4 linked regions of the Elephas maximus indicus genome follow. The protein of the gene in region 4 binds, or shares a complex with, the protein of the main gene of each other region. Links are inferred from orthologs where the notes say so. Each region holds a gene or a part of one and is shown on either strand. Other genes may lie near its edges.

Region 1 (8,305 bases), on a different chromosome or scaffold from region 4:
CTCAGATCTCCTGGAGAAGAGCTCCTTAGGATCCACCTCATTGCCTGAAACCACGCCTACTGTTGCCACAGACTGAGCATGCCAGAATACAAACAGAAGCCTATTCTAAAAGGACTGGACTCCTCCCTCCAACAGCAACTTTGCCTTGAGGACTGCCATTCAACTGAGGGAACCTTGCTTACCGTGGTACTCTATACCCCATCCTTTCCTGCACCCTCTCCTTCAAAGATCTCAGATCTCCCCAACTTCTCAAGCTCCCTCCCCTTAATTCTACAAAGGGGTTTCCCTCCAAAAATCTGTGGCATGTCTAATTTGTTTTTGCCATCTGCTTCTCAAAGAACCCAAATATACATCTGAAAATGGGCTTGGTTTGGCAAAATCCCAGTTATCCGACATCTTCAGTGGAATGTCAAAACCAGTTAGTAAAAGCAAAGGCCTAGCGGCTACCGAGTCCTTAATTGAAAATCTACAACCATCATACTATAAATTGATGCATTAGTGCACTCGTATCTTTCACTTCAGCATACTTTCAAACTTAAAATATTTTAGAGCCCTGTTCACTTTCCTTTGTATATGCTAATATATCTCAATTCTGCACTTAACTACCTTGTAACATGAAGCCAAGGAAAGCTACTGTCTAGGCACTAATCCTAAACCCCATACACCACAGGATTAAACATCTTTTTCTGACGTAGAATCACATAGCATTATTTCACTCAATACTTCACATACTTGTAATTGCTATATTCTAGAATACTTTGCTGTCACAAAACCCAAGGATATCTCATCTCAGCCTATCTGAAACAACTGCCAAAACCTTTCAATATTATCTCCATATCCCTCCCAATTCCCAAAAGTCACAATTTCACCAAGCAGCCTACAGTAAACAGGCGCTTACTACAAGTGCTTTTAAGAGGTCATGAAAATAAATTTAAGCTTCATTAACTGACTCAACCTAATGAACTGAACAGTTACCAGTACATATAGTAAACCAGGGAGCCCCTGGGGAGTGGAAGAAAGGCCTGGCGGTTAAGTCTACTTCCAAGAAGATCAGCCACCGAAAATTCTATGGAACACAATCCTACTCTGACATACACAGGGTCCCATGGATCGGAATCCACTTGACTACAACTGCCACTCCAAACCTCCACCCCCAAGTTTATGTGCTTCCTGGAATACAGTGTTTTTCCATTCTTCAAAAAGTTATTCAAAGGCTGAGTTCAGATGCTCCATCACCGTAAAAAACTTTCAAGGTACTCTTTTCCACTATCCAACCAAAGCCTCCATATCTCCCATCTGTGTCAGGCTTTGTATTCAGGTACTCCCACCCTATCCTCTTCTCATTAAGACCCCCCAGAGGAGTTGTCTTCTAAGTTTCTGTAATTCCACTGACATATAGCACTACAATTTCCCTGTGAAATTAGTCGACTCCAATAGTCCTTTATTTCAATGTCCATTTTAAGCATATAGCAATTTAATTTAGAGGAAAGCGTTTAAACCATTTAACAAAAATATAAGAGAACAAGTAACAAAGCCACCATTTTATTTATTTACTTCTTAGTAAGTTTAAATCCTTGAGGGGTACAGCATCTGGGGGGAAAAGAACACAAGAGCATTAGGTGACTACATGTAAATTCACAAATGTTATAAAAAAACTAGTACCACAATGTGGACAAATCCCTTCCCATTTTCTCATAACTTACTTGGCCCAGAGTCTTGGGCCTAGGAAAAATACCAACTTTCTTCATCTATTAAATAAGGCTATTCTTCTAATAACACTGATATTGAGGATGAAGGGATGGGAAAATATTAAGAATTATCCCAGAAAAAAGATGTGAATTTATTTTCTAACACCTACTTCAGTGGCCAATAAACATCTTTGAGGAAAATTATTAAATGCTATTTTTTCCCCAGGCAGCTTTACTAAACTCTGCAATCTAAGCACAATCCATTTGAACACTCTGCCTTCACCTTTTTTGGTTTAACAGTCAGATGTTCTGTAATAGTTACCACTTAAACTGTGGCCACTAGTTTGGCAGCCTAATCTACAGGTAACACAGTACTAAGCAGGATCACAGTACCAGAATGGACCTTAGAGATCAAATCCCAACCCCTTGAACACAGTTTGACTACATAGAGGGCTAGTTTGGTAATAATTTTACTTACCACACGGATCCTGTGTCCAATGGCCTTAGCAGGAAGGTTGCTTCGGAATTTGGCACGAACCATGCCACTGTTTCCATGGGCCCGAGTTACCTTTCCCCAGATTACTCTGGTTTTGTTAGGTTTGCCGCCAGGAGTCACTGTGTTGCTGATTTAAAGAGAAGTGGAAAGTGCACGAGAACTCAGAATACCAGTAAAGTTTACACGTTTATCGGCTACACACTGTTCCCTCTTTGGTGGCGCAGTGGTTAAGAGTTCAACTGGTAACCGAAATACCAACAGTTTGAATTCACCAGGTACTCCTTGAAACGCTGTGGAGCAGTTCTACTCCTCCATCCTATTAGGGTCGTTATCAGTCGGAATCAACTCGACAGCAAAGAGTTTGGTTTTGTTTTTTTACTGTACACCAGGGGCTTTTGTAAAGGCAAGGCATGCTACAGTTTACAAAAGCCCTTTTTACAGGCTTAACACAATAATAAACAAGTAAAATATGTGGAACATGAGATGATAATAGCTGCAATATAGGAGAAAAAAAAAACAAAGGGGGCTAACAACTGGATGTTTCCATGTAGTGAGAGGGAAGAACTGCTTCCAATTTCAAGTAGTCACAGAAGGTTTCACTGAGGTGACGATGGAATAAAGGACCTGGTGAGGGAACAAGCCATACACGTATCTGGTAAAGACCATTCCAGAGGCAACCAAACCCCCAAAATAAAAAAAACCTGTTGCTGTTGAGTCAATTCTGATTCACAGTGACAGGTTAAAAATCTGAGAAGAGAGTTTGCTTGATTTGCCGGAAAACAGAAAAGAGATTGGAGGGAGAGGAGTTGAATCCTACCTAGGATCAGAAAGGAAATACGGGGCCTGATTGCAAAGGGTCTTAGACACCCCTTAAGGACTCTGGCTTTTGCTGAATGAGATGAGTCTGAGCAATGTACATGTGATCTGTCTGATAATTTTAAAGGATCACTCTAGCTGTGGCAGTGGACCAGGATGAAGTATGTCCCCAGAGATCTTAACTGGCCTGAGGTGGATTAAGAATCCAGGATTAAGAACCACTGCTCTGGACATGTAACATCTTTCAACATGTATAAAACATATAATTTTAGGAAATCAACTAAATGAATTAAGGTACATGGAAAGCGCTCTATAAACCCATATGAGCATCACACTATCAGGAATTAGCTTCTTCCTTGAAACAAGAACAGCTGTAATTTCTCTACATGGTGAAGTAACTGAAATCCAAGACCATCCACAAAAATAACGTCCTTCTACAACATCCCATGAATTCCTTAAAGACTTCAAAAGAAGCCACAGTAGAATCAATTGTTTTATCAACATCTATGTTTTATTTTTCTTTCAACAGAAAAATGAGGCAGATCTTAATTAAAAATTGAAAAGCACAGCAATATTATAAACTTACTTCTTTGCTTTGTACACATAGGCACATCTCTTGCCTAAATAGAATTCGGTTTCGTCTCGGGCATAAACACCTTCAATTTTCAGAAGAGCTGTGTGCTCCCTCTGGTTCCGGAGACCCCGTTTATAGCCAGCAAAAATGGCCTTGGACCACAACCTAAGATACACAAAATATGTAACATTAACGGTAAACTCTTAAAAGATGTTGTCAAACCTCAACAAACCACCGGTATAATTTGGCCCCCAACCCAAGTTACCTACAGCAAATATCTAATTTTTCTGGTCTTTTTAAACTCACATTTAGGTTCATGTTCAACAAAAGACTACATATACGAAGCAATTATATTTAAAGCTCATACCTTCCAGACATATTTGCCGGTTTCGAAGTCCTGTTCCCAGCAGGCCTTAAACAAAAAAGACTCAGTTCACAACCTGGCAACACAACTTTCCCACCAAGTGCCCCCTCGTTTCTCAAGCACATTAGACAAATTCGTTTTTGATTGACATTTCATATAATAGTAAAAGAAAACATTAATTATGCCATAACATTTACATGAAAGGTCTGTTAAGGCAACCAAGCCTCACAGAAAGCCTCTGATATGTAAGGAAACTCCAAAGTAAAGGGAAAAAATGCAGAGGCCAAAGAAAATCCGAAGTGGCAAAAATATACCCTTCACGAAATAAAAAAAAAAACACACCCACTGCCGTCAAGTCGATTCCGACTCATACAGGACAGAACTGTCCCATAGGATTTCCAAGGCTGTAATCTTTACAGAAACTAATTGCCACATCTTACTCCCGTGCAGGGGCCGGTGGGTTCCAACCGCCAACCTTTTGGTTAGCTCCTATAAAGAAAAAGTAAGGTGGCAAAAATATATACTTGACGAACTCCTAGAAATTTCAACAGGAAGCCCTGGGAAAAATCATGTCATGACCAACAGACAAAAACTCAGGAAAAATAAAGACTTATCGAGGACCGTATCCGAACAGAAAACGGACTTGAACCCAACCTAAAGGACCCACTGCCTTAAATCGGCACCTGTAGCCAAACGAAGTGCACCTATTTCACTCCGCTCTGGCCCGGAATCTACTCCTATTACAGGACCCGTTCCCCGGACGTCAGGGAACCAGCACCATCAACCCCGCATCTCTGCCATCCTGCCCTCCCTCTCGCTGGAATCCTTAAAATCCACTGACTACCAGGGTCCCCAAGCTGCACCGGTGCCTCGCGAAGCATATGGATGAGCCCACCCCAGCTATTTTGCTCCCAAACTTCAGCAGCTGAAGCTTCCCTCACCTCTACAGGCTCCAAGATGGCGGAAAAAGGAAAACCAAGACCCGCCGCGTTGCCTTGTGGGATAAACACCTCTCTTCCCTGCCCCCAAGTAGGCATCTTCCGCGTCCGCCAGAAAAACAAGCGTCAGGAATCGTCTTCGGACTGACGCAGCCTACATCCAAGAGCACTTTTACAATTCTTTGCCAAAGTTCTTTCATCTTTATAGGCTGCAGCATGCGTTATTTGGGAGCAGAGGGAGGCAAAGTGGTAGCCAGCTAATGGGGGAGAAGAAAAGGTCCCCCAAGCTGTGCGTTGCCATAGAAACACCCTAGCTTGGTACCGGCTTCCTAGGGTGCTGTAGGTGGAAAAGTAGAAGCCGGACTGAAGGACTTCTCCCCGCCTTGGACACCGCAGAATTGGTTCGCGAACGTGGGAGCATCTTTCCTTTCCACCACACAGGAGTAAGCGCACGGAGACTCACTTTCGGATCCTACCCTCGCCTGGAAGAGAAAGGCCGGGAGCGCAAAGGCAGGAGAGGTCGTTCCTTTCTTTCCCTGTTTGTAATTCCTCCTGTCTTCTCCCTAGTCCTTTACACCTTTCAAGAAATGACTTAAATTCTTTCCTCCGTCCTTCGCTTTGACCCCGAGGGTAAGGAGGACTGCCCTGAGAAGACCTATCACCTTTTTAGGAAGACCCCTTCAGCTGTCAGACAAACTGAGCGTGCCCTGCACCGTGTACACCCGTAAAAGGCCCTCAGTAGACACTGGTAGACTAGAAAGAGATGGGTTAGTGGACGTCAGAGATTTACATTTCCTAATTATTGAGAGTTTATTTGGATTGCCCTGTGGATTCTTTCATTTATTCAGCAAATATTTCATTGAATGACTGCAATATGCCAAGCATTGTTTTAGACCCTGAAAATACTTTTGTAAACAAACGAAAGCAGAAATCACTGCCTTCATGGAGCTTGCATCCTAGTAGGAGGAGCCAGACAATAAAGCAAGTAAAATATATGGCACATTACCCGTTGAAACCAAACCCGTTGCCGTCGAGTCGATTTCGATGCATAGCGATCCTACGGGACAGAGTAGAGCTGCCCCCATAGGGCTTCCAAGGTGGTGGATTCCAACTGCCAACGTTTCGGTTAGCGGCTGTAACTATAACCACTGCGCCACCAGGGTTTCCATATGACAAATTAGGAGGTGTTAACATATATGGAGGAAAAAAAAAAAAGCAAGGCGGCCAGTGCAAAGGAGGCTTTTACTCTGAGATGGGAAGCCATTTGAGGTTTCCATACAGAAAACAAAATCGGCTGCCATGGAGTCGATTCCCACTCATAGCGACTCTGTAAGACAGAGTAGAACTGTCTCATAGGGTTTCCAAGGCTGTAATGTTTATGGAAGCACACTGCCACATCCTTTTCTGGCAGAGCTGCTGATGGATTCAAACCCCTAACCTTTCAGTGAGGCGCGGAGCTCCTAATCACTGCGGCTTTCCGTACAGAGGAGTGACTATCTGCCTTAAGGGAGGCAAGGGCACCAGCAAGGAGATCAGTTAGGAGGCTGTTGTCATGATCCTTTTGGAAGATGATGGTGTGTAGACAGGGATGGCAGGTATTGGAATTCTGAATGTATTTTAAATGTAAAACCGACAGGCTTTGATGATGGATGAAGAGTGAGAGGGAGAAGAGTAAGGAATGACTCCAAGGTTTTTATAAAGTAGTTGTATAGAGGTCACATATAAAATCAGATTCTCTCTTAAATACATCAGGGTAGGGTTTCTGTACCTCACTCTCCCATCAGATTTTCTCTGTCCAAGAAATTGAATTCCATGAAGTTCCAAAAGTAAGCACTGCTGGGAGGAATAACACATTCAGTGTGAGTTTCATTTATTTGTTCATTCGTTCACTCCACAAACACTTATGTACCGAGCACAGTGCAGACACAGGATACAGTCGTGAGCATTGCTGTCACGTTTCCTGCTTTCGTGGGGTGGGGGAAACGGACATAAACATTACAGATTCTGAGGAGGGTTCTGTGAGCCCTTGAACAGAAGAATCCTGATCCAGCCTGGTGTGTCAGGGGAAGGCTACTTGGGAAAGTGTCGTCTAAGGCATTTTTCAAAATGCAAGTGATACTCCATTAGTCCATTGAAAGCGAAATACTCGTTTAAACAAAATATGATGGAATACAGTGGAGTCTAGACCTTCTGGTGCCACTGAAGCTGAACCAACACCCAAAACTATTGCCCTGAGATAATCTAAACCTCAGACCTCAAACCAATACTTCCCCCTGAAGTCTGCTTTGAATCAAACAAGTTTAGCTTAATTAGTAAAGCATGTCTGCGTTGCGCATTGTGTTCTTTCAAAGATTTATCTCTACGGGATCAAATCGACAACAGCATCTCGAAAGGTTAGCGGGCCTTGAGTTTATGTTAATGGTGGTGGAATAATTTGGAAAAGGAGAGTGAGAACAGTTATACAACTTGAAGATGGTAGACGATATCATTGAATTGTGCATGTAGAATTTGTTGAAATGGTGTAGACTTTGCTGTGTATATTTTCACTAAAATAAAATAAATCTTTAAAAAATGATAGAATAGAAAATATCAGGATGTATCACACATAGGGAAACCCTGGTGCCGTAGTGGTTAAGAGCTATGGCTGCTAACCAAGAAGTCAGCAGTTCAAATCCCACAGGTGCTCCTTGGAAACCCTGTGGAGCAGTTCTACTCTGTCCTATAGAGTCGCTTTGAGTCAGAATGACTCGATGGCAATGGGTTTTATCACACATAGTAACTAAATGGGTGTGTGTGTGTGTACATTCTAGGGAAGCACAGCCATATCTTATCTGCACAAAGCACAGTCTACCTATGCCTCAAGCCTAAAAAATGAAAAAAAGAAAGAAACAACTGCGTAACCACAGAACAAAATTACGCATAACACCCTGCTACCTCTTCCTAGGACTGCCCCTGCTCCAGAAAATTCGGCTCTTTTGGAGCATCTTTTGTCACTTTACACAAAGATTCTGTTTTATATGATTGAAGTTTTATATATAAGATGTTTATCAAGTGAGACATATTTGTACTACCCCCCTCCCTGGGACCACTTTATTGTGGACAAAGTCACACTGAAAACAGCCCTTACTTTTCAGTCTAGAGCACAATTCTCTATAGGTTATGTTCACTGTAAACCTTATCCAAGCACAGTAATTACTGAAGTAATTTACCTAGAAAAGGCGCCACCTTAATAGCAATATTAAACTGATTTCCAGGATAATTTCAATTTTTTAAAGCGTAATCTTAATTGTTCTTCTAATTTTGTTGTTGTTAGGTGCTGTTGAGTAGGTTCTGACTCAGAGCGACCCTACGTACAAAACAACAAAATACCGCATGGTTCTGCGCCATTTTCATAATCATTATTATGCCTGAGCCCGTCGTTGCAGCCAT
Region 2 (7,782 bases), on a different chromosome or scaffold from region 4:
TGGACCCTGCCTCAGAGGCTGTGGCTCAGGGAAGGGCAAGGGTGATGTACTGCTTCTGGCTGTAGGCCGTGGACACCGCTGTGATGCCCCAGTGGCAGCGGCGGGAGCTTCAGGCAACACTGAAGGTGCTGCAGCGGCGTGCCAACACTGCCATCCGCAAGCTGGAGACAGGGCAGGTAAGAGGAGGTTTGGCTGAACTCATCGGGGACAGATTCCCAGTACACCAAGCAAGGGCCAGAGACCTCCAACCCGCTCCCTGTGGAGTCTCAAGAACTGGGGTACGTGGGACAAGTCAGGCTGTGCTGGGAGGTGGGCGAGAACAATGGTAGCCTTCCTCCTCTTTTTGCCAGCCCACAGCAGGCCTTTCCCCACACCTCTCTCTCTCTGCCAAACCGTGTCTCTCCCCCATCTTCCAAATCTGGCTCAGACTCTCCCTCCAGGAAGCCTTCACTGATGTGATTAACACCATTCAACCCTAATGGCTGTTTAACTGTGGCTCCCCCTGCCTCCCCCCCACTCCCAGCCATCTGTGCTCCAGCACCATCCTTTCACCTTCAGTGGCCTATTTGTAGGGCCCTGGGGCTGTGATGAGAGAGAAGAGGCAAGGGAGGGGAGGAAGGACCCAGATGGGACCCGAGAAAAGGAGGCCATTCCAGGCAGAGCCCCTGCCACCTCTTCTCAGAGCTGATGACCTTGGCTGAGGGAGGGGGAAGAGGAGGGAAAGGCATTGCTGGGTTAGGGCCCTGTTCAGAGTTGGAGTTGATTGAAAACCTGCCTCCCACCCTCACCCCTCTGCCTTCTTTCCTGCCCTACAGGCAGCAAAGAAAACCCAGGAGCTGCTGGAGCGGCACACGAATGGGCCTCTGATTGTGGACACAGTCCCTGCTGAGTCCCTCTCAGTGAGTCTTGGGGCAGGGGAGGTGGAAGAGCTGCCCCCAGGGCTGGGGAGGGGAAGTCATGTCTCGGGGGTAGTTCGGAGACTGAGAAGCCATGGGGTTCCCCATCTGTCCTCCCTGTCCAGGTTCTGGTGAAGGTGGTGCGGCAGCTGTGTGAGCAGGCCCCCAGCACATCCGTGCTACTGCTCAGCCCCCAGCCCCTGGGGAATGTGCTGTGTGCCTGTCAGGTGGCCCAGGTGAGGGTAACAGGAGAGCAGCCCCATCCCCACCCAGCTCCTGGTCCAGATCTCTGACTTCACACCTTTTACTTTTCCCTGAAAAGGGAGCTAAGGGGCTAGGTGGAGGTGATCTATGAGGACACCCCAGGACAGGGATAGGTCAGTCTCCCAGTCAGGAACCTCTCCCCCAGGGTAAAAGCAGCATGAGATCCTCTAGTTTCCACCCCACCCTCCTCTCCAGGCCTCATATCCCTTGCTAACAAGTAGCAGACATTCATCAATCTCCATATACACTTCCAGTCCAGCCCTTCTCCTGTCTCCTCACCCAGCTTCCTCCACCGTGTACCCAGCTGGGGAAGGGATGCTGATTCCCTGCCACTCCATTCTCGAGGGTACCTTGAGCGCATGGGACAGGGAGGGCTGCTCCGTATGGCTTCCCCTTCTGTTTCTGCCCCCAGGGTGCCACACCTGCCTTCACAGCAGAGGCCTGGGCACTGGCTGTGTGCAGCCACATGGGAGGCAAGGCGTGGGGCACTCAAGTCGTGGCCCAGGGCACCGGAAGCACTGCTGACCTGGAAACGGCCCTCAGCACAGCCCGAGCCTATGCCCTCACCCAGCTCTGACCCAGGCCCACCCGGGGGCTGATGTGAACAAAGAGACAGTGGACGTGCAAGTGCCAGGAGCTCTGAGGAGCTAGTTGAACCTCAGAGGGTAAAGCGGAGGACTGAAGGCTGAGAAGCTGAGCCAGAAAGGGCCACCCTGAGCCAAGCCCCGTGTGGACACAGGGAGCTGGAGATGACTGGAGAAGGCAGAAGTGGGCCCAGAGACACACTCCCACTTGGTGGCTGTCGTGACTGTGAATCCTCATTAAAAATATTTCACAGAGGATTGGAAACTAGAAGATTCTTTTATTTTAAAAAAGCAGCCTTTCGCTCCCAAGAACCTGTTATGCATGCCCCATCCCCAGTCTCCCCTCACACTGGGCTGAAAGGATCCAAATCACGGCCAAGAGTGCTCAGACGGGTTCTGTATGCAGAGCCGTCCTGGGCTCCAACAAAGCCTCCTGATTTGCCAACAGCCTGCCAAGATCCAGAGCTTTCATGTAAAAATCATTACAGCAGAGCAGACCTTCACCGAGTTACTTCGTTTCATTAATAATGACTTCTTGTTTTAATTAAGGCCCTGTTGATTTGTTGATGAATTGAGCAACAGGTACTGCCCAGTTGCTGAGAACTGACAAGAAGCAAACTGAGAAAAATTCCTGCCCTTGAGGAGCTTACTTGTAGTGGGGGAAACAGGCAATGCACAAGAAAAAGGAGGTGTCAGATGGTGATGAGATCTGTGTCAAAAAAGTGGAAAGGGGATCAGGAGTGTGTGAGGTGGCATCTGAGTGGGGAGCCGGGAGGCGAGGGTGCGAACCATGTGGGTATCTGAGGGAAGAGCGTTCCCAGCTCAGGGAACAGCCAGTGCAAAGGCCTGAGGTAGGAACTGAGGAGGCTAGTGCCGTTAAGCACAGTGAGCTGGCAGAGTGCCAGGTGATGGGGTTGGAGAGACTGCACAGGCCAGAGCAGTCCTACTTTTTGAAACGAGGTACACACCACCTGCTCCCAGCCTAAGCTGAAGCTGAAAACAGTCTAATGTTGGCAACTGAGAGCAGGACGCTGAGGGATGCAGGGAAGCCTGCCTTCTCTGCCAGGACTGAGCCAGATGCTGGAGCTCCGTCTCTGCTCCAAAGTCCCTGTTGCTAGATGAAAGAAAGGACCTCAGGGGCAAGGGACCCATATTCAAGTCAGGGCCGCCCCAACTGCCAAGCTCTGGGATTGTGTAGTAAAAATGAGATACAGAGCAAGATGGACCTTCCTGGCATGACTTTATTTTTTGAACAATTCCTCATTCTAATTAAGGGACTGATGATTTGTTGGTAAATCACTGACGAGGGCTTGAAGGGACTGGAACCCTTGGTGCCTGGTCCTCGACTGCTTGCTCCAGCCCTCTGGAGTTGCAAAGCTTCATTTCAGAATCTTGGTAATTGGAGCCGTAGCCATATTTGGTGGTGCTCACCACAGGCCCAGCTTTTTCTTAACAAACTGTGGGAACCAAGGTGAGGGTTGTGGTACCCACACTTTATTGATGAGGAAACCGAGCTTCTGAAATGCCAACCCAAGGTTGTTAATGGGTACCATCAATTCCAAATCATAGCAACCCCATGTAACAGAACAGAACTGCCCCATAGGGTTTTCTTGGCCGTAATTTTCACAGAAGCAGATCCCTAGGCCTTTCTCCCAAGGAGCCATTGGATGGGTTTGAACCACCTTTTGGTTAGCAGCCAAGCACTTAACCAGTTCTGCCACTAGGGCGTCTTTTATCCTAGGTTTAAAAAAAAAAAACAAAAAACCCATTGCCCTCAAGTGGATTCCCACTCATAGTAAACCTATAGGACAGGACAGAACAGTCCCTAGAACTTCAAAGGGGCACCTGGTGGATTCAAACTGCTGACCTTTTGGTTAGCGGCCGTGGCTCTTAATCACTACGCCACCAGGGTTCCCTTACCCAAGGTAACCAGCTTAAAGCTAAGTTCTGCCTCCACGTGAAACTCCTCCCACCTCACTGGCTGCCTCTCCCCTCCTGAGGACAATTTCTTTTTCTTACTAGCAAGCCCCCTGAAGTCTGTCACCCTCACCCTCCAGGAGATCAGGGCCACCACATCCTGTCACTACAGGGCTGGCGGGAGCAAGGAGAGCATTGACTCCAGGTTTAGAGCTCTGCCAAAGAGCACTGCGGAGACCCGGAACCTTCCTGTCTCAGGTGCCGGACACCAGCCTCATTTACATTCTGAAGAAAGGTGGAAGGTGTTACTTACTGTTCAGGGATGCAGTGCAGCCCACAGCTCTCCTGCAGGGTTTGAAGTCAACAGGCGGCCTCAGGGGGAGCTTCAGTAACTCCTGCAGGTACCCTGGACCTCTCCAGTGCCCCCACCCTACTGCACCATTTCTCCTGAAAAGGTACCAATAAGGAAAAAGTACTCCAGTCCAGGACCCTTGCCCTGGCCCACTCCTCACCTCCAGAGAACACCAAGCATACCCATCCCCAAGGCCACAGAGTTTTCACTACCCACAAAGCAGCCCCACACAGACCTAAGTGTCCTGAGGCAGGGCCTGGGCCACCTTGCGGGCCGCCGAGCCAAGTGCCATAACAAAGGACCAGCCCTCTGCGCTTATATCGACCACCACCCAAACGTGGTGCATAAGCAAGCGTACGCGCACACGGGGCCTCGGGCCAGCTCGTGCAAATGGTGCCGGGACTTCCCCGTCCCGCCCCCTGGCGACGCAGGGCGTCCCTAACGACTGTAGGCCGCGCGGAGACTAGAGAGAAGGCGAGGGCCCGGGCTCCGAGGGAGCAGGTGAGGCGATCTCTCGGATAGGAACACTCAACCCCCTACAGGGCTGACCTCTCCCGGACCCCACTCACGCCTGCAGGGCCCAGAAGCCACTCCTGCGACCCCAGAGAGAAGGCCCGCGCCCTCAGCCCAACAAGTCTGAAACCTGCAGGCGGCCATCGCCTGAGCTCCCAACATTCCTGTGGTGGGGAAGGGCCGGTCTGCACTTACAAGAGGCCCCCTTCCATTCAGTACCTCCTCCCCGGCCTCAGCCACTGTCTACACACTGTGGAGCCCGGAGCGTCCGGCCGGAGTGAAGGGTAGGGAGAACTGTGGTAAGGAAAAGGGGAAGGTGGGGCTTTGGGTGGGTCGTGGAAGAGAGCCATCATAAACTCAGGGGCTCCAGTCTTCCCGGAGAGGCTGATGCTGCAGATCACCAGCTCCTTCGGGCCGCAGTCCCTCCTGCAGGTCCAGAAGCTTCCACACCTCCCTCCCTCCTGCCGCTGGGCTGGTTTCCCTTGGTTACCAGGAGAACACCAGGACCTATTGGCAGCAGGTGGAATGGAGGAGGGACCCACTGACCTTTGGAACTGGAGCTTCTCAGCTGGGGTCTGAGCTGAAGGGAGGGATTATGAGTGGGGAGCGAAGCCTCTGGAATCCCTTTTGAGACAACAGACCAGAGTGAGCAGGAGTTGGGAGGGAGCCCAGGCCTAGGGGCTGCGATAAGTGTGTTTGCTGGTTCACCGGGCTAAGACCAAGCATGCTGTGCCTGGGCTCTGTCTGAGACACTTTTTTGCCTGTCTTCTTGTGAGTCCACAAGCTGGGAAATCCCAACTGGGAACTGAGGAGTTATTTGCCCCATCTCATGACATCATAGGCATGAAAGAGCTCACCTTCAGGCAGGTGTAGACAGATGCCTGGGGAGAGCACTCCTCAGTGGGTCCTGGGAAGGGAGAGAAGCTGGCCAAGGAGGCAGAGACAGCATGTCAGCGAGGTGGGTGGAGAACCAGAGAGGCACCGGTAGGCAGGCAGGTAGGAGGGCAGTCCATGCCGAACGCTGCAGAGCACCCCTGGAGATTGGCACAGGAGAGCACTCACCCTCAAGGGAGGCTTCCCCAGGAGAGTACTAGGCTTGGAAGCTAGATTCCAGGTGACTGAGACCAGAGCCAGTGGTCAGAAAGGGAGGGCAGCGAGTCAGAGAAGGTCAGCTTCCTAGGAAGAAGTGAGGCTGTGGAACCGGCAGGAAAATCAGGCAAAGGCTCTCCCCCGATGGAGGGGAACCCACTTGCTCAGGTGAGAGATGGAGGAGCCCCTGGGTGGAGCAAACAGTTAAGTGCTCATCTACTAGCTGAAAGATTGGTGGTTCAAATGCACCCAGAGGTGCCTCAGAAGACAGCTCTGGCGTTCTGCTTCTGAAAGGTCACTGCCTTGAAAACCCTATGAAGCGCAGTTGTACTCTGCACACATGGGGTGTGTGCACACATCAGAATCAACTCTACTGCAAGTAACAACAACAAACCCTTTTCAGAAAGGTTAAGAGATGAAAGTGCTGGGACACGACTTATTGAGGCAGAGACAGCCCATAGGGGGCATATCACCAGGCACAGAGGTACTCAGGCCTTAAAAGGGGCCAGGTGTCACCTCGTCTCAGTTAAGAGAAAGGGAAGTAAGGACATTAAGGACCAGGGATGTAAAGGACAGGAAGGTGAGAGGGCTCCCCTACAACTTATTTACCTTTCCCATTCAGGCAGGTGGGAGGAGCCCCTGTCCAGAGTGGGTAGATTTAACTGGAGACTTGAGGAAGGATGGAAAAGGTCGGAGATCTCCTTTGTGAGGTGGAATGTGCTAGAGATGCAAGCAGTGACTCCTGAGTCTGTGAGGAGCATCGAGGGCCCTGTGTGAGCCCTGGATCAGGACAGCAGAGCCCTGAGTATTCTCTTGGGTCCCCATGGAGCCTGAAGCCAAAGGAGAAAGGCAATGACCCAACTTTGTGGAAGGTTCTGGTGCCCAGGAGTGAGTTAGGGGGTGAGGGAGCCTGGGCTGTTAGGTTAGCATGAATGGAGGCAACCCCAGGCTCCAGACTGGTGACAAGGAGAGAGAACTCATGAGCTATAGAAAGTGGGAGGCCCACTGGAAACACACTGTGAATGACCAAGTTAGTAGCTTCATGAAGTTAACTCCATCACCTCGTTATTTGTCCATATTTTTGTGCCTGAAAGTGAGTGTTAGACAGAAACTCAAACCTCAGCTTCTCCACTTACTAGCTACGTGATGCTTAGCAAGTTACTAGTTACTTAAACTTTCTAAGCCTCAATTTCCTCGTTTGTGAAATGGGGATAATAATGGTAAACCTGAGAATTTAATAGAGTTATGTAGGTAAAGCATGTAACATCTTTATCACAATAATATCTAACATATGCTGACTCTGGGCCCACACTATATGAAATGTCTACACACATTAGCTCCTTTATTTCTTGAATTTGCCCAATAACCCTATGAGATTTGTTGTTCTTTTAGGTGCCGTCAAGTCGGTTCGACTTATAGCCACCCTGTGTGTAACAGAATGAAACACTGCCAGTCCTTCGCCATCCTCACAATCATTGTTATGTTTGAGCCCATTGTTGTAGCCAGTGTATCAATTCATCTCACTGAGGGTCTTCCTCTTTGTCAATGACCTTCTACTTTACAGAGCACGAAGTCCTTCTCCAGGATCTGGTCCCTCCTGATAACATGTGCAAAGTATACTTATCCTATGAAATAAGTACTATTAATTACCACCCCCATTTTACAGATAAACTGAGGCTTAGTAGGGTGAAATGACTTACCCAAGATCTTAAAGATGCTAGGAGGTAGAGTAGAGATTTAGCTTGAGGCAGTCCAACTCCTGAGTCCTGCAATTGAAATTAACCAGCTGCTATATAGGGTTGGTATGAGTCGGAATCGATGACAATGGGTTGGTTTGGATCGGTTTTATATTGCCTTGTAGGTCCCTGAATGGCACGAACAGTTTGCACTCAGCTGCTAACCGAAAAGTTGGCAGTACAAATCCAGCCAATGATTCCACAGAAGAAAGACCTGGCGATCTGCTTCCACAAAGAATATAGCCAAACAACCCTATGGAGCTCAATTCTACTCTTAATACATGGGGTGGAAACCCTGGTGGCATAGTGTTTAAGTGCTACGGCTACTAACCAAAGGGTCGGCAGTTTGAATCCGCCAGGCACTCCTTGGAAACTCTATGGGGCAGTTCTACTCTGTCCTACAGGGTCGATATGAGTCGGAATCAACTCGA
Region 3 (7,902 bases), on a different chromosome or scaffold from region 4:
CCTTAATTTTGATGTAATGTATCTGGCTTTGATCTAATGTTTTGTGATTTTGAATTTTTGTTGGAGAAGTCCTTCCTTGCCCCTAACTCACAAAGATACTTTCCAACTTTAACTATACAGCACTGTTTCCCCAGTAAGATCTTTAATCTGCCTAGAGCCCAGCTCTGTATGAAGGGTTAAGTAGGGATCCTGTTTTATTTTTCTATGTATAATGAGACAATTTTCCAGCACCATCTATCAGGCCATATGTCCCTTCTTGGTGATCCACCTTGTTGTGTTTTAAGTCCCAGGGGTACATGGGTCTGCCACTGAGGCCTCTGGTCTGTTTCCCTAGTGGTCTTGCCTATTCCTGCACAGATTGCCACCGTGGCCTTGTAATGTCTTCATATCTGGAGGCAAGTCTTCCTTCTAAGCCCTTCTTTCATTAAGGTTGACTTAGCTCTTTGAGGACTACATGCCTCCATATAAACCACAGAATAAATTTTTTGAGAGTCTATAAAATAAAATCAACTGGAATCTTTATTGTAATTTCATTGAATTAATAAATTCTCTGTGAGGGGGGTTTATATTTTAATATTAAGTTGTCTATCTGAGAGCACAGAGTAAATACATCTTATTTCCTTGTATATTTTATATTATAATGAAAAAATACTAGAAATGAAGAAACTTGGGCAGAACAGAGAGAACAGGCAGGGTGCCGAGGTGAAGAGGACACTCCCTGTGGCACCTGGAGCACCACGGGACCCTAAGACCTTATAAGGTGATGATCAGGACAAAGCCTGGCTTAGCCACACACATGCCCACTGGTCTCTAATTTAATCCTTCATCAACCCTTTGGGCAGCTACTGTTATCCCTACTTTAAAACAAAAAACTATTGCCATCAAGTTGGTTCTAAATCACGGTGACCCTGTGTGTGTCAGACTATAGGGTTTTCAGTGGCTGGTTTTTCAGAATTAGACTGCCAGGCCTTTCTTTTGAGGCACCTCTGGTTGGACTTGAACTTCCAATCTTTTGGCTAGCAGCTGCTAGTTAACCATTTGCACCATCCAGGTACTCCTACTTTACAGGCTGAGGAAGGTGAGGAATTTGCCCCAGGCAAGTTGCAGAAGCAGAATTTGGACCAGGCAGGCAGACCTCAGGGTCTGCACTCTCACCCTCAGTGCCATCCCACCTCCTGGGCTGTGTTTGTTACCCTTCAATGGTTGGGAACCCTGTCCATCTACTCTAGGCCTTGGGATATGTTTTTGCCACAACTCCTCTTGGCCTCAGCACAGTGTCCAGCTTGACCCTCAGAGCCACAGTTTGTAGAGACCCCAGGTGATAAGGGACCCTAGCCCCTCAGCCCCTGCCTGGACCTAGGGTGGAGAACCAGCTAGAACAGGAGCACACCCCAAAGTTGGCTACATCTCCCCATCTGTACCAGGAAATGAGCCCATTCCGGCCTGCGATTTGGTTAGCCCCACATACTGGTGAGCATGTCTGAGAAAGCCACAGGCCAGGGTTTCCCTTGAGACTAGGAGGTCAGGGACAAGACGATAATTCTTGAATCCAGGGAATGCCCTGGGAGGAGGTGTCAGCAGCTCGGGAAGCGCCTGTTGTTGTTGTTGTGTGCCATCGTGTTGATTCTGACTCATAGTGACCCTGTAGGGCAGAGAGGAACTACCTTATAGGGTTTCCAAGGCTGTAATCTTTACGGAAGCAAACTGCCAGGTCTTTTCTCCTGTAGAGTGGCTGGTAAGTTTGAACCACTCACCTTTTGGTTAGCAGCTGAGTGCTTAACCATTGCACCATCAGGGCTCCCTAGGGCACCTAGCCCTAGCTTCAGCCCAACTTGCCGAGTGGCTCTGGGCAGGTTGCTGGGCCTCTCTGGGGCTCCAGTTCCTTGTCCCAGTGCAGAGCTGGTCTGTTGGCAGAGTTATAGAGGAAATCTGGAAGGGACCTTTAACCTCACGCTCTTATTTTACATCTAGGCTGCGGAGGGTCATGATTTGCTTTTCATGAAGGTTCTGCTTGGTTTTTCTTTAACCAAGGAGGCCTTGGAGAGTCAGCCTACTCCTACTGTCAGGCACTTTACTGTTGTCGTCTCAATGCTCTCTGGACAAGATGAGGACGTTCTATGATCCCCATTTTACAGAGGGGAAAACTGAGGCTTGGGGAGGTGAGGTGACATTCTCAGGGTAACAAACCCTAAGTAGCAGAACCAAGATTTGAACTCAGGCCTGTCTGACCCTGGAACAGCTGTTCCTTTTGAGCACAGGTTGCTAACTCTGAGACTTTGATGTCAGGGCACCTAGCCCTCCCCTTGAAAAACAGATGTCTATGAAGATAAGTCTGAAACCTAGCAAGTTTGTCCACAAAAACTGATAATGAGGCTCAACAGATGCAGTGTGCACACCTCAGGATTTCCCTTCCAGGAACACAGTGAATTGCATAAAGCCTTCCTGTCTGTTTGCAGGGTGGGAGGAGGGGGAAGCAAGGGCTTCTGGGAGCACCACCTCCATTCCTGTCAGACATCAGCACCAGCACCTGGGAGGGGGAGGCAGCTGGTAGCTCACACAGCTTTGGGGCTGTGAGGGAGGGTCTAGTAATAATAACTTCTCTCCTGTGTAAGGCACTTGGCAGTGTCCAAAGCACATTGGAAAAGTTAGAGGTTGTGTGGGAGGGTGAGATTTCCCACGGCACTTAGTAAGTTAAGGCTAGAGTTAAGGCTAATGGGGTCGGGAACTTGTGAGGTGGGACCTGAGGAGGGAATTGACATCAATGCTCGCCACCCTCGGATTGGGGCAGGCCAGGGGGCTGCCTCCTCTCTCTGTCTCTGTTCTCTCTCAGTGTTAGCCTGTCTGCTAATTCTCTCTCTCTCTCTTTCTATCTCTCTCTCTTTCTATCTCTCTCTCTCTCTCTACCTCTACCTCTACGATCTCTATCTCTTTTTGTTTCCTACCAGAGAAACCAAAATGCAATGGAGACATGGAGGGACAGCCACGAGGAAAAACAACAAACCCAAATTGATCTGGCCTGAGAAACACTTCCTGGCTCAGGGCCCTGTCAGGTTGGAGCCAAACCTGCACATGGATTCGTTCAACTGACAAATATTTATTCTGGGCCTGAACTGCACCAGGCCCTGAGCTCAGGCTGGGCGGAAACAGTGAGGAGGCAGTCATGGTTCCTGCTCCACTGGAGTTCCAATTCTGGTGGAAATGCCAAGCCTGCTCCCCCACCCTCAGCCCCCTGACCCACACACTGAACAGACAGGAGCAAAAATGCTCACCCCTCAGGTGTGCAGTATGCATGTGACAGTCTGGCCACTCCCAAAAGACTGCAGATCCGAGGTCCAGCTGCCCGCCTGGCAGTCAGAGTGGAGACTCAGACTTGCTTGAGGTGTCATACCCACTGAGTCTGTGACGTTCTCTGAAGCCATGTCCCCAGACATCTTGAAGGCTGGCAGCCCCTGAATGGTAGAGGCTCTTCAGGGAGGATGGACCCAGGTGGGACTGCAGAAACCAGGGCTGTGCTGGGTAGGAGGATCAACCCCCCACCTAAAAAGTTCAGCCAACAACTCCTCCAATGCCTGAGGGGACAATGACCTCCTGGAAACCTCCCCTCACAGGTACAAGCAGCCAGAAGTTGGAGTCTGAGAGGGAAGTGACAGGGGTAAGGGGAGAGGCTGGGGCTCCTTCAAGGGTCTGTGCCTACAAGAGACTCTCCTATTTAAGCTTAGGCTGTTCCTGAGACCAGAGGGTGGGTAAGGGCAAAGAATGGCTGCTTTGCTACCAAGGTGAGCAGGAGAGGGAGGGGAGGCATCACTGTATGCTGGGAGGGGGCCCAGGATTATGAGCGCGTTAACCTTCTGCATTCCTGGATTCATGAACTCTCAGAACCACAGATGCGTCTGGATGGGACCTTTGAGGCCACGTGGTCCAACCTGGTCTCCATCTCCCCTCCTCAGCCACAGTGTGCAGAGAAGGAGACTGTGGCCCAGAGAGAAGCAGGGACTGACCCAAGGTTACCCAGTAAGTCAGAGTTGAGTCCAGAGCTCAGGGCTCAGCTCCCAGCCTAGCCACTTGGCAGCCTCTTTATCCATGAGACACCGAGTGGGTCTGGTCGGCTTGGGTAGTTGCAGATGAGGAGGCACTCTGACTAGGGAAGTAGAGGACAGCGAACCAGCCAAAGATGAAGATGCCTGGGGGTGAAAAGGGGTAGCAGTGAGCTTGTGGGTGGGGACATGCAGGGAGGGGGGCTATTTAAAAACTGCTTAAAAGACATTAGGGAAAAAATCAGGGAAAAATGAAACCTATTTCTAGAAAAGAACCAAATAGAAATTTTGGAAATTAAAAATAGGGTCTCTGACCAGAACTAGATGGTGCTCGGCTACCACCAAGGACCTCCCTGACAGGGAACACGACGGAGAGTCCCTGATGGAACAGGAGAAAAGTGGAATACAGACCTCAAATTCTAGTAAAAAGACCAGACTCGATGGTCTGACTGAGACTGGAGGGACCCCAGAAGACATGGCCCCCAGACTCTCTGTTAGCCCAGAATTAAAACCATTCCCGAAGCCACCTCTTCAGACAAAAATTAGGCTGGACTACAAGACATGAAATGATACTGGTGAGGGGTGTGCTTCTTAGCTCAAGTAGACACATGAGACTAAATGGGCAGCTCCTGTCCAGAGGCAAGATGAGAAGGCAGAAGGGGACAGGAGCTGGTTGAGTAGAAACGGGGAATACAGGCTGGAGTGAAGAAGTGTGCTGTCACATTGTAGGGAGAGTGACTAGGGTCACATAACGATGTGTGTATAAGTTTTTGTACGAGAAACTGATTTGAATTGTGAACTTTCACTTAAATCACAATAAAAAAAAGAGTAAAAATATAGGATCTCTGAAATAAAAAAAAAAAGCTTAACAGTCAAGATAACTCTAAAAACAAAAAAACCTGTTGCTGTCGAGTTGATGCCAACTCATAGGGACACTATAGGACAGAGTAGAACTGCCCCATAGGGTTTCGAAGGAGTCGCTGGTAGATTTGAACTGCTGACCTTTTGGTTAGCAGCTGAGCTCTTAACCACTGCTCCACCAGGGCTCCAAGATAACTAGATGGGATAAACTGAGAGACAGCAGGGATTTGGAAGATAGTGCTAAGGAATTACACTAGAATCCAGCACAGAAAGCTCCTGTGTGTGTATGTGCGCGCGCGCGTGCATTCGTGTGTGTGTGTGTGTGTGTGTGTACAGGTGCCTCACCTTGCAGGGAGTTGAGCACTGCGAAGATATAAATGGTGAACAGGCCCAGGGGTGTGAGGATAGCCAGCCCCCACGTCATGCCCATCAGGCTAGAGAGGCCCAGCACAGTGAGAACCCCCTTCCAGTTCAGCCCCTGTTCCTTGCCCGCTGTGATACTTGACAGAGTGAAGATCTTCCAGGCCACCAGGCCGAGGACCATGGCACTAAAGAGGAAAGTGATAAGAAAGTAGCCATGGACGGTGACATACAGGGCAGTCGTCTCACGAAACCAGCACCTGGAGGAAGAGGATGGCCGTTGGGACAAGGAGAGGAGAGCGTTGCCCAGCAAGCCCCCAGGAAGTCTCCCCTGACTGACCTTTGAAGACCAAAATGTCTTCCCCTATCTCCACCCACCTACCCCGCTTTCCTCCTGGGGCAGGTGCTCAAGGGCCTCTTTAGACCGTGTGTGCAAAAGGGCCAATTTGGCCCCAAAGGCATGTTTCATATGCTCCACATATATTGTAAAAAAAAAAAAAAATTGAATTAATAGCTATCCTCTAAAAAACAGGTTTGGCATAAATATCCAGATGTCAGCTTCTCTTGTAAAACCCTACATCTGGCAGCTCCAAACGGCCTCCTGAAGACTCAGTGAGTAGGTACATGGTTGCCATTCCACCACAGTTCCCATCCAGCCCCTTTGGCCCCTGATGTGATACTCTGGGGCCAGGCCCAAGGCCCTGCTGGCCCTTTCCAGCTCTGTGCTGGCTGTGGGCTCAGGGGTGGGCACCATGAGAATGCCAGGGCAGGAGTCTGAAGGCTCAGCTCAGCTCCACTTTGTACTGCAAGGACAAAAGGCTCTAAAAGAGCATGTTGATCATCCCCATGGTACAGATGAGGAAACTGAAGCTTGCCCTGAGGGGCTTGGCCAAGGTCACACAATACGTCAAGAGTACAGCCTGGACTAGGACCAGGGCTGCTACAAGTGGTTGGGCAGGTTGTGCACTGTACAATGGGTGGAGGGGGCAGTTGGGAGCTGAAATCCAGCATGTCCTCCACTTACCAGGTTAAGCGTCTGGTGGGGCACATTTTTCAATTTGCCCAAAGGCGCTGTATGGGCTAGTGGCAGCCCAGGCTAGAGCCCAGTATTCTGCCTCCTGGCTCAGTTCTCTTTCCCCCTTTTCAGCTCCCCTCTCTCATTTTCCTTCCTCTCTCCAGGCCTCAATTTACCCCTGCATGCCATGAGCTAGCTGGGTCTGAAGATTTTTCTGGCCTCATCACACTGAATCTCTCGTCCTAGGACTCCCTCCATTCCCCCTCCCTCCGGCTCCGATATGTGAAGCCTGGAACCTGGTATCAGCCCTGCTCCCCCAGCCGCCACTCACAGCTCCAGCATGGTACGGTTTTCCTTGTCCTGGATTGTGTAGCGGCCATAGCTGTTGGTACTCCCGGTGCCAATGACCACCAGGGCAGGGAGGCCTGGGAGCAAGGGGAGGAGTTAAGGCATTGCAGCCTCCCTGGGCATGCCCTCCTCCAGAACCCCTCCAGCTGCCCATTCCTTGAACCCTGAGCCTGTCTGACAGCTCCTCTCTCCCCAGGGAAATGCCCCTAGCCGGCCCCCCAGGGCCTGGCTGGAGGGAATGTCCACCCCATCCATCTCCTCTGACAATCCAGATAGCACCTACCCCAGCCCACCAGGCTCAGCTTCAGGAAGTAGTGCCCGAAGTAGGTGTTGAAGACCTTGATGACAAGCAGATAGAGGTGGAAGGCTTCCAGGCCCATCCAGGTGAAGGTACAGAGCAGAAAGTAGTGGAAGACAGCTCCCCTAGCCCAGCAGGCAGCATTGGAGCCCTGCGAGCCATTCACCACAGTGATGAGGAAAGCTAAATTCAGGAGGAACAGGCTGACACTCAGGGCCACATGGATCTTGGGGGTATCTTCTGACTTGAACCTCTGCCGGAAGAACCTGGGCCAAGAAGGGCCAGTGAAAGGCACAAGGGGCCACAACTCTCATGGGGCACCCAGGCCTTTCCACCCCACCTCCTCTGTTCCACCATGAGCCCTTGGCTCTTCGCCTGATCTTCCAGCTTCCATTCCTGCCCAGCAGCCAGTTTGTAATGCACTCAGGTTCAAGTTCAGGACCTCTCTCATGGCCCACAGGACCCTACAGGTTCCAGGTCCTGCCGGCCTCACCCCTTGGCTTGATGCTTTACCCAAACTGTATACCTTGTAATTCCCTGAACACCTTCTGTTTTTCATACCTCCTGGACTTCACCCACGCTCTTCACTCTGCTCTCAATGCCTGTCCCTGCCTCTCAGGCCCTCCCAACTTCTTTGCCTGCTGACTCCTCCTCCACCTTCAGAACTCCCCTTAGACTTTTCCTTCTGAGGAGGCTGACTCTGAAGGCCCCTCGTTGTTGTTGTTGGGTGCCATTGAGTCCATTTCAACTGATAGCGATTCTGTGTGACAGAGTCATAGGAGTTTCTTGGCTGTAATCTTTACAGAAGCAGCTTGCCAGGTCTTTCTCTTGTGGAGCCACTGGATGGGTTCGAACCACCAACATTTTGGTTAGCAGCCGAGCACATAACTGTCATGCCACCAGGGCTCCTGAGGGCCCCTTAGCCTGGGTGGATGTAGAAGTTTCTCACCATCACAATGTAACTCTACCCTGCCCCTTATCTCTCC
Region 4 (7,704 bases):
TTAAAAGCTCATGACCTCTCTTGGGTTCACTTTGTGCTAGGCTTTGGCTTAAAGGAAGACAAAGCAGAACCCAAAACCCTCAAATCAATGGCTCACTTGAGTGTGTCAACAACATCCACAACAAATGCCAGCTCCCTCCCACCCTGTCCTGGGCAGTGCAGGGGCTGAGCTCGAGCAGAGGGAAGCAGTCAGCTCCACTTTCCTGCCAACAGTTTCAGACTGGGACAGGCTGAGTCTGGTGTGGAAATCTGTTTCTTTTTTTAACAGGGAACGGGGCCGGGAAGCTAGCCAAGAAGCAGGTTAGACTGAGGCCCTAGCTAGACATCCACGGTCAAAGCCAAGGTATCTCTCAGGTGCAAGGGATGCAGGTGGCTGAGGGAGACAAGGGTCCCAGGAGGGCAAGGGAGCCCCCAAAAGCATCATGAAGCTGGGTGTGTAGAATGGGAAACGCCAGGGTCTCCCGGGAGTCATTTCAGTGGCACGACTTGGGGGGTCCGATGTGGGTGTGAGGCAACAGGTATACATCTCCCCATAGACCACAAAGCCCACCATCTCTCAGCCCCCAGCCCATCCCACTGACTTACTTTTGCTAGGCAGTTCCTCTTGGGCCAGTCCATTGGAGGGAGCCAGGGGAGTGCTGCTGCCCTCATCCAAGGTCAGAATCAGAGGCACGTCATCATCTAAGCTCACAGCCATGGTGTCCTCTCCTACAGTCCTCAGGATGCGATGGCCAGGGCCTTAAGTAGTCTCGGGTTTGATGTCCCTTTCAAAGCCACTGCCCCCGGGGTGCTTCTCAGAAACTCCTCCATTAGCGGCATCTTCTAGGGTTTAGGGGGACAGAAAAAGGAAGCGAATCATTCATACACAACCGTCACTGAGGGGCATGTTCTGGGAATAGATGGTGGTTTTGGTTACACAACCTTGTGTCTATATTAAAAACCGCTGAATTGTAGACTTTGAAATGGTGATTTTCATGGTATGTGAATCGTATCTCACAAACCTGGAAAGAACATATACTGAAAAGTTAAGAGTAATTAAATTTGGAGAGTGAGATTACGGCTAATATGTTCCACCACCCTCCCTAGACATTTGTGTGTGTCTTATAAAGATTTAAAGATTCGGAAAAAAATATATAACCATTAAAATAATATTGGTTAATACGCTTTTTTTGAGCACTTACTATGTACCGGGCACTCTTCTAGCCCCATAAGAAAACCAAAAAAACCAAACCCAGTGCCATCGAGTCGATTTGACTCATAGCGACCCTACAGGACAGAGTAGAACTGCCCCACAGAGTTTCCAAGGGGTGCCTGGCGGATTTGAACTGCCGACCCTTTGGTTAGCAGCTGTAGCACTTAACCACTACTCCACCAGGGTTTCCCCATGAGATAGGTAGGATTACTATCCCTCTATGACAGAGGGGCACAGAGAGGTTAGGTAACTTGCCCCAACACCCACAGGTAGAAAGCCAAGCTTGGAACAACACAGTCTGATTCCAGAGCTGTGCTCCCAGCCACCACACCACGATTCCTCTAAGTAGCAGCCTTGATATTTAGGGAGTACCTAGCTTCATTGACCTTAGCACGCCAGGTTATCTGTCGCTATTAGGTGCTGTTGAGTCGATTTTGACACCCCATGTGACAGAATCGAACTGCCCCATAGGGCTTCCTAGGCTGTAATCTTTATAGGAGCAGTCTGCCGTATCTTTCTCCCACGGTGCTGCCTGGGTAGGTTCGAACTGCCAACCTTTTGGTTAGCAGCCAAGTGCTTAACTGCTGTGCTATCAGACCTCCTTTCCATTTCCGCTTAGGAGGACCAAAAGAAAAGCAAAGACTCAGCAGATCTGACTGTGGACCTTTGAACTTCAAAACAGCAGTAGGTTCCGCCCTCCAGCTGTTACCTTCTGGGCTCAATCAACTTTGCCTCCAAGCTGATGCACTGAAATGGCAACCAGGCAACTTAGTTCTTTCACAAAAATCATCAAAATGACTCTAGGCAGACCCTAGTGCATCAACAGGGAACCGCAGAGCTTCTTAAAACAAGGCAGCAAAAGTAAACACCATTCTACTTACTGCAAGCTTGTAAGTCTGCCTGGCTAACTTCCTGTGAGATTTTTTTTTTTAAGTTTCCTCCCAATCTGGGGATTTATTTTGCTTTTGAATCTCAGTAGTGAGGAGGTAGAAAAAGAGGAAATCTCACATACGACACCATTATGCTGTCTTGGGAATTCTGTGCGGTTTATCTTGTTTTAACTTTTTACCATTGATACTTTCAAACACACATAAAAGTAGTGAGAATATGTAAATGAACTTCCTTGCATTCATCACCCGCTTCAACAACTACCAACATTTTGCCATTCTCTCCTGTGTTTATTTTGATGAGAGACTCTATCAACCTTCTCCACACATCAAGAAGTGGTTTCCTAATTTTATCGTTACCATAACGGCTACTGGTTTTGTCGGTTTGTTTAACTGTTTAATACATGACTGCTTGCTTGCAGTGTCTTAGCTCAGTGGGTTTTCCCACGAAAGGGAGATTTGACAATGTCTGCAGCCATTTTTGATTGTCACAACTGGCTGGAGGGAGGCAGGCAGGGTTGTTACTGGCATGTAGTGGGTAGAGGCCAGGGATAGTGTTAAGCATCCTACAGTGTACAGGATAGCCCTCCACAACAAAGAATAATCAGGCCCAAAGTGTCAATGGTGTCTGTTGAGAAACCCTACCTTAGCTAATATCCCTGTTTCATAGATAAAGGAACTGAGGCTTAGAGAGCTTAACTGAAGTTGCCTTTTGTAAGTAAACAACAGGGAAGTGGTCCATACCAAAATAACCCATTCCTGTCCAGTGGATTCCGACTCATAAGGACCCTATAGAGAAGTGGTAGAGTCCAGATTTCAACCCAGGTAGTCTGAATTCAGAGACTTTCCCCGTTTAATTATTACCCTATACCTCTTCCCAGAACAGTGCCCCATAACATTCAAAACCATGGTTTTAGAGAAGGAAAAGTTGGGCCCAGAGAGGGGAAGGGACCTACCCAAGGTCACACGGTGCCCAGGCAGAGCTACAGAGCAGACTCCTGAGTCCTAGCCCAGTGCTCCTTCCAGTGGGCTTTGCTTCTCGCTCTATAGAACACCGAGGGCCGGGGGGAGTCATCCCAGGGAAAGGGGATCAGCAGCTGTCCCGTTACCCGCTGGGGCTGCCTGACCCAGGCATGAGCCCGGTGTAGGGCTGCCTGAGGGTGCCAGGGAGAGAGCTGGAGGGGGAGGAGGAAAGGCTGAGGAGCGCCGGCTTCACGTGCTCCCAGCTCTGGGCCCCAAGTGGGGGCCGACCCAGGGGGCCAGGGGCGAGAAAAGGGGGTGCAAAGCGCCGGCCTGGGCTGGAGGAAGAGAAGCACGTTGGTGATTTTCCTGCGCCCCCCCCTCAGGACCCGTCCTGCCCGCCCGCACACCCCGATGCCCAGACGCAACCTCATACTCAGCGCCTTCTGACCTCTGCCCCCTGGCCTCTCCCCCAGGCCAAGTCCTCGCGCTCCCCAGATTCTTACACGCGCCGCCCCAGCAACCCGGACCACGCGCAGGGGTCCGCACAAAACAGCACAGCCCGCCGGTGCCGCCGCCCAAGCTCCGAGCTCGGAGCTGTTGCAGCCGCCTCCGCCGCCACTTCAGTCGCCGCCACTCCAGCCGCTGCCACCACGGCAGCTGCGCCAGCGCTCCCATCCACCGCCTACAGTGTCCTCAACACTGCTGGCCCCGCCCCATTTCTCCGCTGCCGCAGTCTATTGGCTTCTTGGGTTGCCATGCTGAACTATGATTGACCAAATCTCATGTCCTTCTTCAGTCTTCGCCCACTGCCTGAGCTAAACTCTCTGCCCCCGCCTTGGAAGGGGCGGGACGAAGAAGTCCCGCCCCTTTCCCCGCCCACTCTCCCCGCCTCACCCGTTTGGCCCAACCCAGAGGGAGCCCCGGCTCTCTCAATTGGTGGAGAGTCAGGGATAGATTACTCCTGAGTGGTCAGACTCCCAGGAGGCGGGATAAGCTGGGCGGGAAAAGGAGTTGAATGGTGAAAAGGAAAGTCAGTCAGACCCCGAGTCCCGCCTCCTGAGATTGGCGGGTAACCTAGCAACGCGGGGACCTCGGAGGTAAACTGTGGGTCAGGAGACCTGGAGGCCTCAGAACAGGTGAGTGACCAGGTGGGTTAAGGAGTGGAGGTGAGGGGGAGATGTAGAATGGGGTCTAGGCTGCCCTCCTTTGGATCCCTTAGGAATAGTAGCCCGCACCCCATCCTGTCCCAGCCCCAGGACCCTACTCTCCAGCCTGTTTCCCCTCAGTCAAGTGTAGTCACATCATAGTTAATTTATTTCCAGCCAAACATAGGTGCCGGAAGTGAGAAAGTGGTTATAAATCCCCTACCGTTCCACTCAACGACTGTACGTTCCAGGGTGCATGCAATGAAAGGTTTCTCACGTGACTGAGCATTTCAATTACATAATTTTGATAAGGATCCCTGGTGGGGCAGTGGTTAAGAGCTCGGCTGCTAAGAGTCGGCAGTTCAAAGCCACCGGTTGCTCTTTGGAAACCCTATGGGGCAGTTCTACTCTGTCCTGTAGGGTCTCTATGAGTCCAAATCGACTCGATGGCAACGAGTTTGGAGTTTTTTGGGGGGGGGGGGGAATTTTGATTACACCAATTTTTGCCTTATGTGCCCACTTTAGAACCTAACTCCCATTCCCATCCTTAAAATGCAATTCCATTGCACATACCTCAGACAAAGTGTTTGTTGTGAGGATTAAATGAGGTATAGCAATGAGGAGCTCAGCAAAACGAAGCAACATAGTAAGTGCTCAGTAAATTGTGGCAAGTATTATTATTACTAATTTTCTAAAAGCACGGGTAGCCACAACTCTTCCTGCTTAAAACTGCCCCAAGGAAGTTCTCTCACATCATACCTTAAATATTCACAAGTTCGATGAGTAATTACTGAATGCCTACTAAAGGGCCAAGCACAGTTCTAGGTGCTGGGGTAGAACAGACAAGAAAGCAGCTTCTCTCCTCTGGTTATGGAGCTTGCAGTCTATCATGGGAGACAGACATTCATCAAATAATATACATATTAATATGAAATGACACCTGTGGACATTCACTTTCTATGATGGAAGAATAGGCCAACACGCCCCTTCTCAAAAACTTTAACAACTATAAAGCTAAACAAAACTGTCTAGGGGTATTTCATCCCTGTGGACATCAACCAAAGGCATACAACAAGTTGAGAGAGCTTATTCATGAAAACTACTGAACTTGGAGTTTCTGGTATACTTACCCAAGGCTGTTCCTATTCCCCCTCACCCTAGTTCTGTCAGCATGATAGTTCAAAGAGGGTGGGGCAGGCCATGAAAACCAATAGCTTCACTGTTATTGCTCACTTGATTTGGAGTGTTGTCAGTTAAAGTAGGATATGTTGATGGCAAGTAAATAGGGAGGGCCAACAGACCTGGTTGCAGCATTATTCAAAATAGCCCAAAACTGGTTGTTGCTATGTTAGTTGCTGTCGAGTTGATTCCGACTCATGGCAACCCCACATGGCCAGAGCAGAATGTCTCCATAGGGTTTTTAAGCAAGCTGATCGCCAGGTCGGACTTCTGAGGTGTGTCCAGGTTTGAACTGCCAACCTTTGGTCTCATAAATAATCGCCTAACAGTTTGTGCCACCCGGGGACTCCTCCTGGTCCCACAGGCACCTCTAACTTGATTACATACAAATCTGAACTCACCACCTTCTGTCCCCACACACCACTCCACCCCTCAAGCTCTGCTTCTCTTCCTGTCTTTGCCCTTTTGGTAAACAACCATCCAGCCAGCAACCTGGCCAGAGAACTGGGTATCATCCTTTACTCTTTGCTCTCCCTCCTTCCCCAAGGAGCCTTGGTGGCGCAGTGCTTAAAGCACTTGGCAGCTAACCAAAAGGTCAGGGGTTCAAAGCCACTCCACGGGAGAAAGATGTGGCAGCTTCCATAAAGATGACAGCCTTGGAAACCCAGTGGGGCCAGTTCTACTCCGTCCTATAGGGTCACTGTGAGTTGTAGATGACTTGATGGGACACAACAACAGCAACACAGTCCTCACAGCCAGTCCTTCATCTCATCCTATTGATTCTTCCTCTTCAATATTTCTCAAAGCCATCCACTTCTCCCCATCATCACTGCCTTGTCCCTGGTTGAGGTCACCTCATCTCTCTTCCGGACCTCTTCACCAGCCTTCTAAACCTGATCCCCTTGCCATCTTGCACCTGCCAACCCTTTCGTCACCCTTCATCCCAGGCTGCCAATCTGGCCGTGTCCCTCGCTCCCTGCTTAAAACACTTCTGGGAGCCTTCAATTCCTCCTCCTGAGTGAGGAAAGCTGTTATGCCCAATTTTCTAACCCCATCAAGTCGGGGGAAGCTGCCTCATTTCCTGGTCCACCTGTAAGGTGATCTAGAGGAAATGAAAATCCTAACCAGTATAACCAGGCCAGGATGGAACAAAAGACCCAGTAGTGGAAGTGGTTGGAAACTTAAGAGTGAGAGGGGGTGAGTGCTGAGGTCACTGTTCCATTATGTCTTGTCTGAGTTAAAAGGAAAAAAATGTTAGTTGAAGGGAAGAATCTAACCTACCCATTCCCTTTCCCAGACTTTACCCTCCACCCAGAAAGCTGAAAATAGCCTTTTGATTGAAAGCAGCCGCGGCATCATAGCATCCATCCCCCTCCCTCCACGCTGGCCAGACTGCCTAGAGCACCCGGACAGGCAAGATGCTCAGCCCTGGCTCTGGGTGGGGCATTCCCTTGGGAACACATTCCAGGCGTACATGGTCAGACACAAATGCCTTGGTTTTGGCTTGGGGGTTATACACAGTCCCAGTGAAGGATGAAAAGGGTGGGCCTAGCCTGCTAAATGGCTAACTTCCCCCCACACACTTCCTTTGTGCCCAAGGAGAGGGAAGCTCAGAGCCATAAGGCTGATGCACCACCGGATTTATGCTTCCACATGTAATCATCATCGTTGCTCACCTTTGAAGAGGGCTTTTAACTCTCCCAACAGCTTCCCTATTTATTAAGCCAACCCGGCTCCACACAGCTCCCCTTTGATGTGGCTGGGACAGAGGTTATATCCCTAGTTGTCAGAGATAAGGGACTTGCCCATAGTTATTCTGGAGTCTCCAGCAGGGGACATGTACCAGGTCTCCTAACACCCAGCTTGTGATCTGATCTTGATTCTGTAACTGATGGTGACTTTAGATGATGCAGATATCAGGCAGGACTGGGCCGGACTTGTGAATGAGAATGACTTTGAACCTGGATGGAGCACTGGACTTGGGGGTGGGGAGGCCAGGTGTTTCCCAGCTGACCCAAGTCTATTGTTACTAGGCCAGTGGTTCAGAAGACTGTTTTAATTGTCACAACCGGGGGTCCTACTGGCATCTAGTAGGCAGAGGCCAGGGATGCTGCTAAATATCCTACAATGTGCAAGACAGCCCCCCACAACAGTATATTATCTGGTCCAAATGTCAATAGTGCTGAGGCTGAGAGACCCTGTTCTAAATTGATATTTTCACGCAAGGCAAATGCTACGCACACACACACACTTTTTCCCTTCAGGCCCTAGTTAGTGGAACCAAAAGCTAAAGTGATTAGAAATCAAGAACGTTTGAAATACAGAGCATCAGGAAAGGT

The links.
Region 1: IQCD (region 4) and IQCG share a complex: the UniProt entries of both Homo sapiens proteins name them as parts of the nexin-dynein regulatory complex. The link is inferred for Elephas maximus indicus from reciprocal best matches to the Homo sapiens genes DRC10 and DRC9.
Region 2: IQCD (region 4) and TCTE1 share a complex: the UniProt entries of both Homo sapiens proteins name them as parts of the nexin-dynein regulatory complex. The link is inferred for Elephas maximus indicus from reciprocal best matches to the Homo sapiens genes DRC10 and DRC5.
Region 3: IQCD (region 4) and DRC7 share a complex: the UniProt entries of both Homo sapiens proteins name them as parts of the nexin-dynein regulatory complex. The link is inferred for Elephas maximus indicus from reciprocal best matches to the Homo sapiens genes DRC10 and DRC7.

Annotation. Positions count from the first base shown.
Region 1 is NC_064819.1:17,036,716-17,045,020, forward strand, and holds the start of IQCG (dynein regulatory complex protein 9), read left to right. Parts: upstream 1-4,996; 5' UTR 4,997-5,395; intron 5,396-8,305. Other genes in the region: RPL35A (60S ribosomal protein L35a), read right to left, coding at 1,567-1,590, 2,167-2,311, 3,587-3,739, 3,942-3,952. UniProt on the Homo sapiens protein: Component of the nexin-dynein regulatory complex (N-DRC), a key regulator of ciliary/flagellar motility which maintains the alignment and integrity of the distal axoneme and regulates microtubule sliding in motile axonemes.
Region 2 is NC_064819.1:108,866,107-108,873,888, reverse strand, and holds the start of TCTE1 (dynein regulatory complex subunit 5), read left to right. Parts: upstream 1-4,472; 5' UTR 4,473-4,825; intron 4,826-7,782. Other genes in the region: AARS2 (alanine--tRNA ligase, mitochondrial), read left to right, coding at 66-176, 816-899, 1,022-1,132, 1,573-1,737. UniProt on the Homo sapiens protein: Component of the nexin-dynein regulatory complex (N-DRC) a key regulator of ciliary/flagellar motility which maintains the alignment and integrity of the distal axoneme and regulates microtubule sliding in motile axonemes.
Region 3 is NC_064839.1:24,569,484-24,577,385, reverse strand, and holds the start of DRC7 (dynein regulatory complex subunit 7), read right to left. Parts: upstream 3,344-7,902; 5' UTR 3,270-3,343; exon of another isoform or gene 3,075-3,269; intron 1-3,074. Other genes in the region: ADGRG3 (adhesion G protein-coupled receptor G3), read right to left, coding at 4,075-4,181, 5,241-5,515, 6,602-6,695, 6,902-7,182. UniProt on the Homo sapiens protein: Component of the nexin-dynein regulatory complex (N-DRC) a key regulator of ciliary/flagellar motility which maintains the alignment and integrity of the distal axoneme and regulates microtubule sliding in motile axonemes.
Region 4 is NC_064840.1:11,361,078-11,368,781, reverse strand, and holds the start of IQCD (dynein regulatory complex protein 10), read left to right. Parts: upstream 1-4,122; 5' UTR 4,123-4,177; intron 4,178-7,704. Other genes in the region: TPCN1 (two pore channel protein 1), read right to left, coding at 585-696. UniProt on the Homo sapiens protein: Component of the nexin-dynein regulatory complex (N-DRC), a key regulator of ciliary/flagellar motility which maintains the alignment and integrity of the distal axoneme and regulates microtubule sliding in motile axonemes.